2 linked regions of the Caenorhabditis elegans genome follow. The protein of the gene in region 1 interacts with the protein of each later gene in a pairwise test. Each region holds a gene or a part of one and is shown on either strand. Other genes may lie near its edges.

The links. Proteins that work in one complex are often made in the same cells at the same time.
Region 2: the proteins of Y106G6H.14 (region 1) and F59E12.9 interact in a two-hybrid assay, tested with the Caenorhabditis elegans proteins (2 studies listed by BioGRID).

What each region holds. Positions count from the first base shown.
Region 1 is NC_003279.8:10,470,399-10,476,174, reverse strand, and holds Y106G6H.14 (Osteoclast-stimulating factor 1), read left to right. Parts: upstream 1-2,785; 5' UTR 2,786-2,786; coding exon 2,787-2,882; intron 2,883-2,929; coding exon 2,930-3,047; intron 3,048-3,318; coding exon 3,319-3,533; intron 3,534-3,587; coding exon 3,588-3,722; intron 3,723-3,770; coding exon 3,771-3,869; 3' UTR 3,870-3,979; downstream 3,980-5,776. Other genes in the region: row-1 (C2H2-type domain-containing protein), read left to right, coding at 127-234, 278-372, 421-502; Y106G6H.16 (Dynein light chain), read right to left, coding at 678-824, 874-957, 1,007-1,111, 1,185-1,262; ska-1 (SKA complex subunit 1), read left to right, coding at 1,741-1,825, 1,880-2,352, 2,402-2,575; Y106G6H.13 (Reverse transcriptase domain-containing protein), read right to left, coding at 4,248-4,664; duo-3 (ubiquitinyl hydrolase 1), read left to right, coding at 5,119-5,348, 5,595-5,689, 5,739-5,776.
Region 2 is NC_003280.10:5,639,863-5,648,776, reverse strand, and holds F59E12.9 (TFIIS central domain-containing protein), read left to right. Parts: upstream 1-1,734; 5' UTR 1,735-1,739; coding exon 1,740-1,829; intron 1,830-1,876; coding exon 1,877-1,949; intron 1,950-1,996; coding exon 1,997-2,432; intron 2,433-2,852; coding exon 2,853-3,149; intron 3,150-3,201; coding exon 3,202-3,285; intron 3,286-3,332; coding exon 3,333-3,459; intron 3,460-3,512; coding exon 3,513-4,172; intron 4,173-4,506; coding exon 4,507-5,317; intron 5,318-5,851; coding exon 5,852-6,229; intron 6,230-6,276; coding exon 6,277-7,152; intron 7,153-7,235; coding exon 7,236-8,042; intron 8,043-8,114; coding exon 8,115-8,341; 3' UTR 8,342-8,714; downstream 8,715-8,914. Other genes in the region: sam-4 (BLOC-1-related complex subunit 5), read left to right, coding at 42-249, 368-589; ddl-1 (WASH complex subunit homolog 3), read left to right, coding at 903-947, 997-1,362, 1,413-1,571.

The DNA of each region.
Region 1 (5,776 bases):
TTTTTCTATATTTCTACAGTAGCCTTCGAGTCAAAAGTTACATTAAAATTTCAAAACGGGCCATTTTGTAGATTTTTACACTTCCTTATATATGACTTGTTTCAAAATATAATGTTTTTATTGTAGGATATCGAAAGAAAACGGGAAATTGTCCGGCTGGGAAGTGATCCGAAAGAAGAACTCGAACTTTTCGCTGTATATCCACAACCAACAAACACTGAAGCAGAAACTGAAGTACGTTAAAAACAATCGTGTTAAACTGGAAAGTTTTTTTCAGGAAGCAACACTTCGAAAAATTCATTTGGAGAGAGGAGATCCTTTACCAATTCTTGAAGATATTGTTTACCAGCCAATTGATGATTTACCACTATTGTACGTAATTTCTTCTTCCTAACTCTATATACAATACATTTTTTACAGAAAAATGCTCTCTAAAAACCACGACAAAAGTTTGGAAATTATGGAAAAGTGCACGGCGAGTGCCGTCACTACCGAAGACTGATTCGATCTCGCTTGATCTCCTCATTATGATACTATTATTTGTATCGATTTTTCTCCACGGTTAAAAACTCTACTTCATTATGTTTTCCCATTGAATCACATTTCGATCTTTTCCATGCTTATTTTGAATGAATTACAAATGTCTTGAACAAATTGCTGTACATTTATAAAGCCATTCACCACGTTGGCCGAGGACAACGTGTTGGTAATCGCAAAAAGTAGAAATGATAAGCTATGAGACAAAGAAGGGTAAAAATTATTATTAAAACTGTGCATCGTAGACATGAAGACGAGTTAGGTTGTACTTTTATTGTGTTTATTATCTGAAAAATAATCATTTTATCAGAAAATTGAGATATTTATGACTCCTACTTTTTTATTTTCTGTTGGAGATCGAGTAAAATGGCGCATTCGAATACTTTGAACTGGTGGGGAGCTTGTTTTATTTATATGATACTGAGAATTAAATATATTTTTTATCTCTTTTGAAATAAAAACAACTCACATTTAAGATTTTGCAGATTTTATCTGGCTTTACACATGTGGACGGAACACATTCTGCGTCAACAGAAAGAGCATCTTTGAGCAATTTTTCTGCTTCGTTGCGAACCTGAAAAATTAAAAGATGAGAGAAACTGAATATTTTTCAGTGTTATAACGCGTTATCGCATCAATTAACTCACGTCCTGCCCATTTTCAAAAAGACGAACCACTTCTTCAGCTTTTTCAATAAATAAATCAAATTCGTCTTTTTCTTCCATTTATCTTCATTGGGTTAGGTATAAATATGATGTTATTTTGTAGAAAAACGTTTCTAACAAAGATAAAAATCTAAATTTGAAAATTCGCTTTTATGGTCGTGGCCTAGAAATTCGAACTGTGGCTGCTCTATCGCCCACGGATGTGTACTCCTCTCGAAGTATATCTGAATTAAAACGGCGCGAATATGACTCATCGTTCCTTGCCGTCTTGTCTTTATTTATTTAATTGTTTTATCTTTTTAATTAGCTATAACTTCTTAATTAAATTGGAACAGATTTTTTTCTTGCTCTACTGCATTCTTTATTTCTTAAATCCAGCAGAAACGGCCACTGCTTCCTTTTTCCCTAAAATTAGACTTTATCGAATTTGGCTCTTTTCCGTTGATTCAATTTCAATTGTTGATACATTAAACATATCTCTAATACTACAAAACATAACATATTAAAAATTAAAAATTAAAACATTACCTGTTTCAGAATGGAATCGTTTATTGATCGGATTACCGAAGAGACCGATGAAAATTTCCGCATATGTCGAGAAAATATTCCCAATTTTGAAACAAGTACGTTTACTTTTCTTCACAACTTCTCGCATTCTTCATTATCACTTCTTTCAGCAATCAGCCCTCTCTTGAATACAATGAAGAATATCAAGTTGTTACTAGATGATGCAGCTTTTGATCAACAAAAATTGGAAAACAACTGTGAAGAAACATGTATGAACTGCACCAAAAGTCAATTGAATGATTTTCTCGGAATCAAAGTTGAAGCTTCCACGATTGTCGATGTGAAATCACAATTGGTACCTCAAAGTAAAGAATCATCTGCTCTTGTCGAAACCAATGAACCGAATGAACAAGGATTATCGTCTAAACCGAAAGAAAATGATATCAGAATTGTGCCACAGATAACGGATGAAGAATTCAAAACAATTCCAAAGTATCAACTAGGCCGGTTAACGCTGGAAATGATGAATGAAATAGTGAGCAAAATGGATGATTTCCTGATGAAAAAGAGCAAAATCCTGGGGAAAACTAATAAACAGCTGACAAGGAGCGATAGGGAGGTTTTGGACAATTGGCGAGAACTTGTAAGTTTGTTTTACTTGTTTTATTGAAAATAAATCTATAATTTTTCAGGAAATGAAAGCAAGAAAGAGACTTCCAACAACGTTATTCTTCATAGAAACCGACATTCGACCAATGCTCCAAGACCGTCTTCGTCCATCATTTGCCAAAGCAATTCCGTGCCTTCGTCACATTCGTCGAATTCGAGAAGAACGATGCGGACCGTTGACTTTCTATTATCCATAAATTCCTTACGATATTTGTACATTTTTCAAACTGGTCTCAACGTATTAAATTTCTCTGTCAAATAGCTAATAAACGGATTTCTACTTCAAATGATCAAAAAAATTTATTCTTCAATTTTTACACCTTTGTTTTGGTGAATATATTCTACTTTAAAAATATTATTGTTCTGATTAGAAATATGAATTTTTCAACATTTTTAAAATTTATCAGAATGTCATCAGCTCGACCAATGGCTCCACCACCACCAGCTCCAAAGCCAGGACGAGTGAAAGTTTATCGAGCACTTTATGATTTTCAAGCCAGATCTGTAAGCTTTAATTTGAAAAAAACAACCCAATTATTGAATAAATTCAGGCTCAAGAGCTGACATTCAGTGAAGGAGATCTAATGTACGTCAGCGACGAGCAGCCGAACAAAGATTGGTTCCAAGCAAGCATCGGAGGCAAAAAAGGATTGGTTCCAGCTAATTATGGTGAATACTTACAGCACAATCAGGAATGTTTTGCAAAGCTGCGGCGCGGTTCGATGAGAAGCGTAGATTAATTCACATGGTTTTACAGTTTTTAGTTAAATTACTTGTTTTTGAACTTTTTTCGTCAGTTCATTAGTACAAAATCATTTTTAAATGGCCATGCATCAAACCGCATCTCAATTTTGCAAAACCGTCGTTCCTCCTCTTTTATAATTCGAAACTGCACCGAGTTCATCGAGATTTCTAGAAATTCCAATATTTATTTTTTCAGTGATCAGTGAGAATGTGGAAGAGCTCCCGAATCCCCTACATGAAGCTGCTCGACGTGGAAATATGGATATGCTGGCTGAATGTCTTCGAGAGCGGGTATCCGTCAACTCCCTCGATAAGTCCGGAGCTACACCACTTTACTGGGCTTCACATGGTGGACACGCGCCAGCAGTGGATACGTTGTTGAAGGATCCAAAAGTTGCAGTTTCGGTTCAGGTTTGTTGAAATATTCTTTCACATGTAACGAATCTCTAAAAATTAAATTTTCAGAACAAACTCGGTGATACGCCTCTTCATGCAGCGGCCTACAAAGGCCACGTGGAATGTGTGAGACTTCTTCTCGCTTCGTCAGCCAATCCATTTGTAAGGAATCAAGATCAAAAGCTGCCGAGTGATGTGACAAAAGTAAATATTGTTTTTTATAGAAGTTTTCTATAGAAAAAATAATTCCAGGATGCTGATATCGCTGCTCTTCTAGACAAAGCAATGAAAGAGGATCGTGTGAATGAAGAAGAGTATGCTGAATATTTGTCAGACTCGGATGCTGATTAAGACTATTAAATTTGCAATATTTATTCCTTTTGACATCTTGTAATTATTTCTCAAACACTTGTCGATATTTATTGAAACTTTGCCCAACCTGTGATAAACTTTTTTTTCCCTCTATTCTCCTTTTTCAAATACTCGTTTGAATCGAGGTTTTCTTTACTTTTAATCTTTCTATTTCAGAACTAATGCTATTCAAGTATCGTAGTTTTGCTTTTTAATGTGTGAATAGGGATTGAGAAGTCTTAAATTAAACGATTCTACGACCACCTTGAAATAGATAAGCTGGGTCTCGTCGCGAAAGTCTAGATTTCTCTAATTTTGCGGCTGAATAACGAGTAAATACAGAAACCCAAAATACAAATGTTTACTCATTCCATCAAGTTATATATAGGCATAATCGGATGGTTCACTGGTGTGATAGTCGTTGGTGTAGATGTTTGGGCTCTGAGCAGCATATTGATGATGAGAAGAGACAACATCATTCGTGTTCCATGCATATTGCGACGATTCACTTTTTGGCGGGGCAAAATATTGCTGATTGTCCATAACTGAGCTGTTCATTGTCAGTTGATTCGGGTTCTTCTCGAGCTCCGCGGCCTTCATGGTGCAATAGTCCGACACAACGTGGTTGCGTTGCTCAAAAGCGAGTTGTGAATCAACGATACGAATGATCGCGTCGCCGTCGAGTGGGACATCGGCAATGAATTGTGCCTCAAACATATCACTCTCCGATGCTGGAAGAACGTCGGCGTCGCTCTCCAAACTAGCATCCATGTAGAAGCTCTCGACGTATGCCATCTTGAGTGAGCTGCAAAATACTTATTCATTTTTTTAAATGAATATTAGATAGGAGATTCCGATTATAGTGGAATATCAAGAAGAAATAAATGTTAGAAAATAGCAGTGGCTAGAAGAATCTCCTACCAGCACATCACAAAATTTCAGTCAAAGAGTTTCAGCAGCTCTTTAGGATGTTCTAAAGAAATTCTTCTTGCCACTGATCTCAGCTACCGCTTGCCTTCACAGAATTTCCTGTTAAAGCACTTACTTGATGCGAATCGAAATGTGTTCCTAGGGTTGGACTAAAATCGAAATAATTTGATTTTCGATTTCACTTCACGGGAGGGGAGATTTTTTTTGCCAGATTAGTTTTATTGATAAGCAATTAGAATGTCACGTATGTATAATAATTACTATTTTGCTTTTGTTTCAAATTTCAACGTTAAAATATATTTAAATATCCTGTTTTCAGATGCTGGAAAACTTCTTTATTGACGTGACCATCACAAGACCTCGCATCACACCTATAAGAATGTTGAAGAGACAAATCGAATTCACATCGGATTCTATCAGATTCAGGTGTCCCGGAGGAGGAGACAAAGAGTATTACTATACACAAATGATGTACAAGCCGATAGCGGATAATTCACATACGGGAGCCAAATTGTTGAACATTGAGTTGAATAAACAGTGCGAAGAAAGGTGATTTAATTTTTTTTAAATGAAATATCATATTTTTAAAAAAATCGCTCCTTTAGAATTGAAATTCTACAAAAAACATTTTTGCGGCCTGCTATATCTATAAAATACCATTGTAAAGATACTTCTCTTTAATTTTCGATAATTTCTTGCCAATTTACAAATATTCCAGAATTTCTGTTTAAAGTGAAAATTAGTAATAATCTCAAACTTAAAATCACACTCTCAATTAATAAATATAATTTTCAGTTATATCAAACTTGAATTCACAAGCCACGATGCTCACAGGCACATGGGATGGGTTGTAAATCAGTTTAATAAAATGATTGAAGCCAATAAAGATGGTAAATTAAATTGTATGGCTATTAAAAAAATAAACAATAAATATTTCAGTAATGGAACATCCAAAAAAACGGAATCTTGCAACTTTC
Region 2 (8,914 bases), on another chromosome or scaffold:
ATTTATTCCTTTTATTCAAAGTTTTAAAGTCACATATTCAGACTAGCAACACGATTACAAGAACATTTTGCCGTTAATGCGAAAGCAGTGGCAGCAGATCAAGCTAAAATTCCAGCAACTTGCAAGAGTGTTGAAGCGAAAATGATCAGACTTATTGAAGAAACAAGAGCTCATAAAGAACAACATGACGGTTTTATGGCTGCATTGAGCGGACTTAATCAATTGCACGATGACATCTGTAGTATTCAGGTGCGAATTAGAAAAAGAAACAATATTTAATGCATCATACCAAAATTGATTTTTAAAATGTTGCACCTTACATTTTTGCTCAAAAAACTTGCTCCGTTTATCAAAAATTAATTTTCAGATAATTCTTGAAGATATTGTGCCAATGGTTGAAACGCTTAATGAAATTCTAACTCCCGACGAACGTCTTCCTCCTCTTAATCTTGGCTCAGTGCTCGACAGATCTCCCGTTCCAAGCAGTGATAGCTCACTTCAAAGTACGCCCCGCCATAATCAAAATATTGGTCATATTGATCAAATTGAGCCGATTGAAGAAATCCGCGTAGTTGATCTACCAAAATAATTAATTTGTAAATTTTTATTCTCTTCTTGAATCTGTTGCCCTATCGCCCTTCCCAAAAAGTCTTGAAGGCTTTATCTCACTTTCTTCTCGCAATATCAAAATTCCATTGCCGTTTTGTGATTTTTTATTTAGTTCATGCACATATTTATCCGTCAATCCTATTTTGATTTCTAAATTTATCATAAATTCTAGTATTTTTCGCAAATTAATCTAATTAATTTACTTTGAATCTAACTTATATGGTTTGTGCCTTTTTCATATTTCCATTTCTTGTAATTAATTGCATCATTAATTAATTTTTAGATCACCAGCAATGAATGCGAGCTCCAGAACCAAACCTGCAATCGATTTGAACAAGGTAATATCTTAAAATCTCATCATAAAACTTTAAAGCTAAATTTTTTAAGGTTCCTCCGATCGATCATCACCGTACAGCAGTAACATTCAACTGTCTCATCATGAAAATGACAGAAATGCTCAATAATTTCGGAAATAAAATGGAAGACATTTTGGAAAAGGCAGAGCAGAGTTTAGACACTGCCGATCGAAAGTTACGCTTGATGGAATCGAAATTGGCAGGAATGAGTTTGGAGGATAAATCAACCACCGCCACACCATCATCAGCACCAGAAATAGACGAAATTCACGAATCGAATCCCAGCTCTTCACAAATCGTGGAGGAAACAGTGGAAGAGAAACCAGAAGAACATACTACGACGGTTCTTATCAAAGACGACCCGGCTTATAGTAAATATTTCAAAATGCTGAAATTGGTGAGTTTATCCACTTGAAATTGCTTTAATAATACTGTAATTTTTTTTAGGGAGTGCTTGAAGCTGGTGTAATACAGAAAATGAAATCCGAAGGCGTCGACCCATCAATTTTGAAACGCGGTGATGAACCATCTCGTCCACAGGCACAGACTTCACGGAATTATGAATCTTCTGGAGAATCTACGGCATCCTTCTCTGACTCTGATTAATTTATTTTTTGTATATTTTTACGGGTTCATAAAATGTATAAAACATTATTTTTTAATTTTCGGAATATGATGTACTACACTGTTAACTCGTTTTAACGATTATGATATACTTCTATTCATTTTTTTAAAATTGATATAATATACATACTAATTTCCCTTTCAGACAAAATGAAATCACATTCAAATGTAACTACGCCACAAGCAGAACTTGTGAGCCCAGCCATGGGTGAACTACTCAAAAATGCCATCATGAAATCTGTAAGTTATTAAATTAATATCACATGGAAACTTTATTTGAAATTTAGGCTCCTGTCGCTCTTGCACTTATGAAAGGTGAACGTCCTGGGAAGAAAAAGAAAAATAAAAGGGAAAAACAAGGTGAGCGACCGTTCGAATAAATGATTAGACTATCGGCAGTTTTTCAGAAGATGACGTGGAAGTTACACCAAAGTCGAAAGAGAAACGTCGGAAAAGCGAGAAGAAGGAAAAACCTCCAATTTTGAATTATTTGGACGATTCAGATTCTGATTCGGCAGATTTTTCATCATCTTCAAAACGTAAAAGGTCGAAAAGGGCGCTGGAGAATGATTCTGACGAGGATGTGGGAGATGATGGAAAAGAGGAGGAAATGAAGAAGAAAAAAGAAAAAGAGGAGGAAGAAAGAAGGGCGAAAGAGGAAAGAAAGAAGGCGAAAAAAGAAAAACAAAGACAGAAAGAGCTGGAAGAAAGAAATCGAAAAGCAGAGGAGGCTGCTTCGAAACGAAGAAAACGAGAGGCTGAGGTTGAAGCTGAACGAAAAAGGAAACGGAAAGAGATTTCTGTGGATAGTGATGATGACGATAAACCTGCTTTGTTAGAAAAGTACGCATTTTTTAAAATTAAAAACTCGGTTTTCCAAAATATTAAAAAATACTTTTTTACCTTTTAATGAGCAGAATAATTCATAAATATGTCGAACAAATTGTGCAAAAATAAACTAATTTAGCTATGAGGTTTCTCGGTTTGAAGTTTCGAAAAACTAGGATTTTATGTTTTTAGTAAAATCTCCCCTTTTTCCAAAAAAAGTTGACCTGTAGTATTTTTTCTAATTAAAAAAAACCAGGCCGCTGGGAAAAATTGTAGATTCTAGCAAAAATTAGCATTCCTCCCAATTTTGAACCCAATAAAAAAGTATTGAGTAATTTTTGAGAAGTCTCATTACGAATTATTTTGACAGCTACAAATTCCAAATTTTTCATCGCCAAAAAAATTATATTCTTCACTAAAAATATATAATTTCAGACGGAATAGACGTGATTCCTCTACTCAACCATCTTCAAGCTCTTTTCAAATCAATCAGAAACATCTTCAGCACATTGATTGCAGTGGAAAGTCACGTAAAGATCTTATAACCGAATACAATTGCATTTCAACAACACACGCCGAGTTAAAGGAATTTAATGATTTTCTGGAGGAACGCGATCTATTGAAAGAGTATGGTCAATCACAGACATATCTTGACGAGATAAAATTATTCCCTGAAGAGCAATTGCTCACTTGCGATTCTGAAGTTTGCCCATTCATACTGACATATCAAACGTTAGTTGATTTTTAATATCTATCAAATTTTAATTTTTTTTTCAATTTTCAGGCCGTTATCAGCACTTTATCAGGAAGCACGTAAAAAGTGGATACCTCCAATAAATGAGTCGCCTAGCACTTCTCATCTTCGAAAGTATGTTAAATTCTTGTTGTATCATAAATAATTTTTCATTGTTTCAGTAAATGTGTAAATTGCGACAAGATGTTGTCTATGGTGACGGAGGAGACGTGGAAACATTATTTGGGAGCCAGTAGTTACTACTGTTCAGTGAAATGCGTTGCTGGAAAAGTAGAAAAAGTTATGAGGGTTTGTTTTTTTTAGTTTAATTTTAATTTTATCTAAACATATTTTACTTTCAGACGAATCCCAATGCTGAAACTATTACAGTAATGAATGCATTGACTGGAGAGACTGTTTCGTCGGGTGTGTATTCACGCGAACTTTGCTCATTTTTCCTTCTTGCTCCGAATTGGATGCCGTTCAGTACTGTACCGAGTAAAAATCCAGAGCCATTGGATCCAGAAGCAATAAAAAAGAAGGAAAAAGAAAAGGAGAAAGAAGCTGAACGAGAAAAGGAAAAAGCAAAAGATAGAGAAAAGAAAATAGCTGCTCTTTCGAAACCGATTCCCAAAAAGAAGCCAGAAACCACGAATTCTTTGCGACAAGCCAATCGAACTCATATGGAGACCGCTGTCGTTGCTCGAATTGATAGGATGAAGTTAAAAGGAATTGATCGGAAGGAAATGAAAGATCTTGTTGATCAACTCGAAGAAATGTTATTTGATAAATGTGATCGTAACATTTCTCATCCTAAATATCGTGTCTGGAAACAGCAGTTCATTCACAATTTTGAAGCTGAAAGTGCCAAGGATTTCGTGACGGCGGTTGTGTTAAAACGATTATCTGTGGAAAAATTGATTGCATTGGATGCGAATTCTTTGAGAAATCCAATGTGCTGGAAGATAAAGCCAGTCGGCGGATTAACTCAAGCTAAAAGAAGGTCAAATGCATCAAAAAATGTGAGTTATTTCAAAAATTTTGCTCCAAGAGTACGGTTCCCGGTCTCGACACGGCAAATTTTGATTAAATATGACAAGGTGTGCGCCTTTAAACTTTAAAGTTTAAAGAGTACTGTAGTTTCAAACTTGTGTTACTGCAGAATCTTTATTGATTTTTCTTAACTTTTCTCGCGAGTTGTAAAATTTATGTGATTTTCTTTTTATATCAAAGTTTATTGTAAATAAATAAATTATTCTTCATTTAATACCAATTTATCGTGACGAGACCGGTTACCGTATTTTTGGATCAAAATTGACAATGTTTTGCGTCTGGGTAATATTCATTAATTTTCAGCCACTCGATTCAATCATAGGAGATGATTCTCGTGATACGACCGGCGAGCACATGTCTCACGCATTCTCAAAAACTTGCAAAATATGTCAAGCAAAGCAGCTGGCGGATGCTGAAGAAAAGCTTCGGAAGCAAAAAGAAGAACGTGATCTGGAAGAGCGGCGGGAGAGAAATCGTGAACTTCGAGAAGCTATGCGTCAGGATGAAATGGAACGACGGAAACGAGAAGAAGAATCAAGGCATCGGAGGAAAGCTGAAGAACGAGATGAATGGGAGAAACAGAGGCAGAAAAGACGTGAGGAAAGAGATCAAGATCAAGATGATAATGACTTTGGTGGTGGATCTTTTACACCAGTATATGATTTCGAAGGGCCTTCCGATTCAAATAAAAATGAAGAAAAGGATGTAGACATGCGAGAAAGAGTCGAAACTCGAAGTGAATGGGAATTTCCGATACGAATCTACATGGCTGATGAGCCATTTGATTCAATTGCTACTCCAATTTTTGCTCAATCCGATGAAAATCGTCCACTATTCCGTCAATTCGATAGATATCTCGCTGAGAAGACATTCAATTTGCACACTCCTCGTCGTTTACAAGAGTTTCTAATAGAATCTAATAATGCAATGAATGATACTAGATCATGTGCATTTGCTGTGCTCAAACTGACTTCTGCTGGTACTTCGAACAGTTATCAGAAGGTTTTGGATTACAATTTGGATCAGGATACTGTATATCAGCTCGATTTCACGGTTGGAGATGAGATTCTTTCGGTTTTTCTTTTTCCGCATAGAGGATCCGAAATATTGCATGGTAAATTTTTTGACTTTTGTCTCAAAAAATACTGTATCAGGTCTCGACATCTATTTTCAATAAAAAAATTTTTTAAAGTAATAATTATATATATATATATTTTTTTTTTAAATTAATAATAATTCTTAAAAAATGTAATAAAACATTACAATATACGAAGTGTTGTCGAGAAGTTGTCCAATTTTGAAATTTTTGTTCAGAGAAAATCGAAAAGTCGATAAATTGAAAAATAGAAAATCGAAAAATTTTACATACAACTTTTTCTAAAAAAAAAACAAAGTTTTCAGCTAATTTTTTCTAAAAAAAAACAATGTTTTTTTTCTAAAAATCGGAAAAACCTACCTATTTTCGTTTTTCTCGAAAATCTAAAAAATCGAAAAATTTTGTAAAAAAAGTAACGAGAAATTCAAAAACGTTGACAAAGTTTTTTTTATGAAAAAAATGATAAATATACAATTTTCTTCTTTTAAAGTATATCAATTTTCCAAAAAACATATTTTTTGAAAAAAAAAAACTAAAAATAATAATTTTCAGATACATTTGCACCAGTCAAATACAACATTGGTACAACAGAAAATTGTTTCATGCTGATCGTTGTTCTACGTCCAAATTTTGCTGAACGCTTTCAATATTCTGTTAGAGTGTGTGATCTTGAAATGAAATCTCAACTGTTGCGGATTGAACGGGAGAAGTTGATGCAAACATCTTGGAGACAACAGACTCAAGAAAATGAAGAAAAAGAAACGTGGAAAAAGGATAGTAGAGCTTCAATATCCCCAAAAATATGTTCTAAAGATGCTGAAGATGCAACTTCTGAAGCAGTTAATCATTCGACACCATCTACTTCTGAAGATTTGGCTTCCAAGAAAGTTAAATTTATCCTGCAAATTGTGAGCAGCGCGAAACAAATTAGTGAGTAAACTTTCCTATATATTCAAAAATTTTAAATATTTTTTCAGAAGAGATCGTTGCATCTGCAAAGGATTTTATGATGGATCCAGATGTTTCGGATTCTGATAAAGATAAGATCAAGCAAATTATACAAGAGAAAATTGATGAGGAGAAAGCACTTAAAAAGGCTGAAAAGATGAAGCAGAAGACTCAGACTAGCGATGATTTGGAAGAACCATCTATAAGCGAGCAAACTCTCAATGGCGCCGAAGTTCCTTCTCGCTCGAATCTCGACTTCAGCCGTCCACCTCCAATCTTCTCTCAACAATCGGCGGCACCTCATGTTGTCACTGCTTCCATGGATGTTCCATCATCGTCTGCTGCAGTTCAATCTCAGCATCCGATGACGGCTCAAAGTGTCACTCCAATGGCATCGCACATAGTTCCTGTGGCTGCTCCGGTACCTGTTCCAACACCGTTCACAATTCCTCCACCGGTTCCACCACCACCTCCGACAGCAACTTCAACACAATCTCAGCAACCTCAGTTCCTCGAAGGACTCGGAATGACGGATAATGAAATAGTGGCCGATGCGATCCGACGAGGGATGGTTGCTCCGATTCCACAGGAACTTCTTATGGGATCCGGTCCCGGGCACATCAGAGATAGATCACAACCTGCGCTCACAGCAAGTGTGCTCACTGGATCATCACTTGAAGCCGATATGAGAAAGTTGATGGAAATGAATAGACGGATTCAGATGGAAAAACGATTTGCACAAGATATGGATGAAGTCGAAGAAAGAAGAAATATAAGAAGAGGTGGATATAGACCACCACCACCGTTCCATAATGGAACTGATATGATGGAAAGAGACATGGAGAGACGCGATCATTCCATGATGAGACCTCGTCCAAATCACCCTCTTTTGCAAATGGATACAGGTAATTTTTTTTCTTTAGTAAGAAACTTCATGATTTCAAATTCACCATTTATGAATAATTCCAATAAACTCTGTGATTTACAGCTCCTCCTCAAAACGGATCTGATCCACCACAACCTTCCGAATCCTGTCCTGCTCCACCGAAGAATAGCTCTAAAAAGCGAAATAATCGGCGAGGAAATCGTCGGAACACAAATGAACACATCCAAGCCAATCATGAGGATTCGGATAGTTTCTCAACGAGTAGAAGTTCTTCCCCATCACCGCCTCCGCCACCTCCACCTCCACCTCCTCCATCTGATGATCTTACGCCGGTTCCACCTCCTCCACCTCCACCGCCGACGATGAGTAAGGCTCCAACTGGTGTACCTCTTCCAGTTCCACCACCACCTCCATTGTTCTCACCATCAATGATATTGCCACCTCCTCCACCTCCTCTTCCCAGCGAGGAAAAGAAGAATCCGTTGCCGACCGCTAATAATGGGCATACTGATAACGGTTCAGATGATATCGATAGGAACGTACCAACGCCACCATCTCAAAATCAGTATTCAATGCCTCCGCCAGTGATGGGAGGACATGAAGGTTCATGGAGAGGAGGTCCACCGATGCGTGGAATGCCACCACTCGGAATGATGAGAGGGAGAGGTGGACCACCACCGCCGAGAGGAATGAATTCTCCAATGAGAGGAATGCCACCACCAATGCGAGGTGGAGGGCCACCGATGCGAGGAGGACCACCTATGAGAGGAGGACCGCCAATGTTCCGCGGAGGTCCACCTGGTCCAGGAAGAGGAATGCCATCTCCAATGATGAGAGGATCCTCAATGAGAGGCGGTTTTCCTCAAAGAGGCGGAGGACCTGGAATGGGACCATCTCAATATTATCATGGTGAGTTTAGTAATTGATATCTGAAGAATACTTTGAAAAGTCTTTTTCTGTTTTAAAATATGCTAATTTCAGATTCTCCACAAAATCGAGGTCCACCCATGGGTGGTTTACCACCCCCACATGGTGGTATGAACGGTTGGAGAGGAGGTCCACCTCCTCCACGCGGAGGATCACATTGTCAAGGACCACCACCATTGATGGGAGGACCCCCACCTCGTCTGGGTATGCCGCCGCCTGGCCCGCCCCCACCAAACGGAGGACCGCCACCACCGTCAGTCGAATGGACCAGCAGATTTTGATTATCCCCGTTCACCTTCACCTGTTTACCTGCCTGCCCAATTTATAGCTCTCGTTCACTTTTTACATGACCGGTACAAAAAACAATGACTGACGAATATACTCCACCAATTAGTATATATCACTTGGCTTCTTAGGTTCTAAAATGATGCATTATGTGCCAATTTTCATAAGTTTATTTCGATTCTCCTGTTCTCTCTGCTCTCTTACGTGTATCACCTTCTCTCCGTCAGATTTTTAATTCATAATTTTATATATAACTTGATGTCTTGATAAAAGTACAGCTTCATCCCTTTTCTCCCTTCTCACAGCCCGTTCCTTTTTTTGTGTTTCAATTTCTTACCGCTTTTCGCTTAATAAAGTGATGAGTTGATTAAGGTTTCTTTCTGTTTTTTTAAATGAAAATGCCAATTACATAGTGATTGACAACTCTTCGAATTTTGCTCATGGGAACTATGTTAGATAAAAGTTCCGAACATCAACCTCTTTGTTCATCTAATTTGAAGTCGCGCACAAATAAGTGTTTTGAGATTCTCGGTCATATACTCCTCTCGGGCAAAGAATGAATTACAATT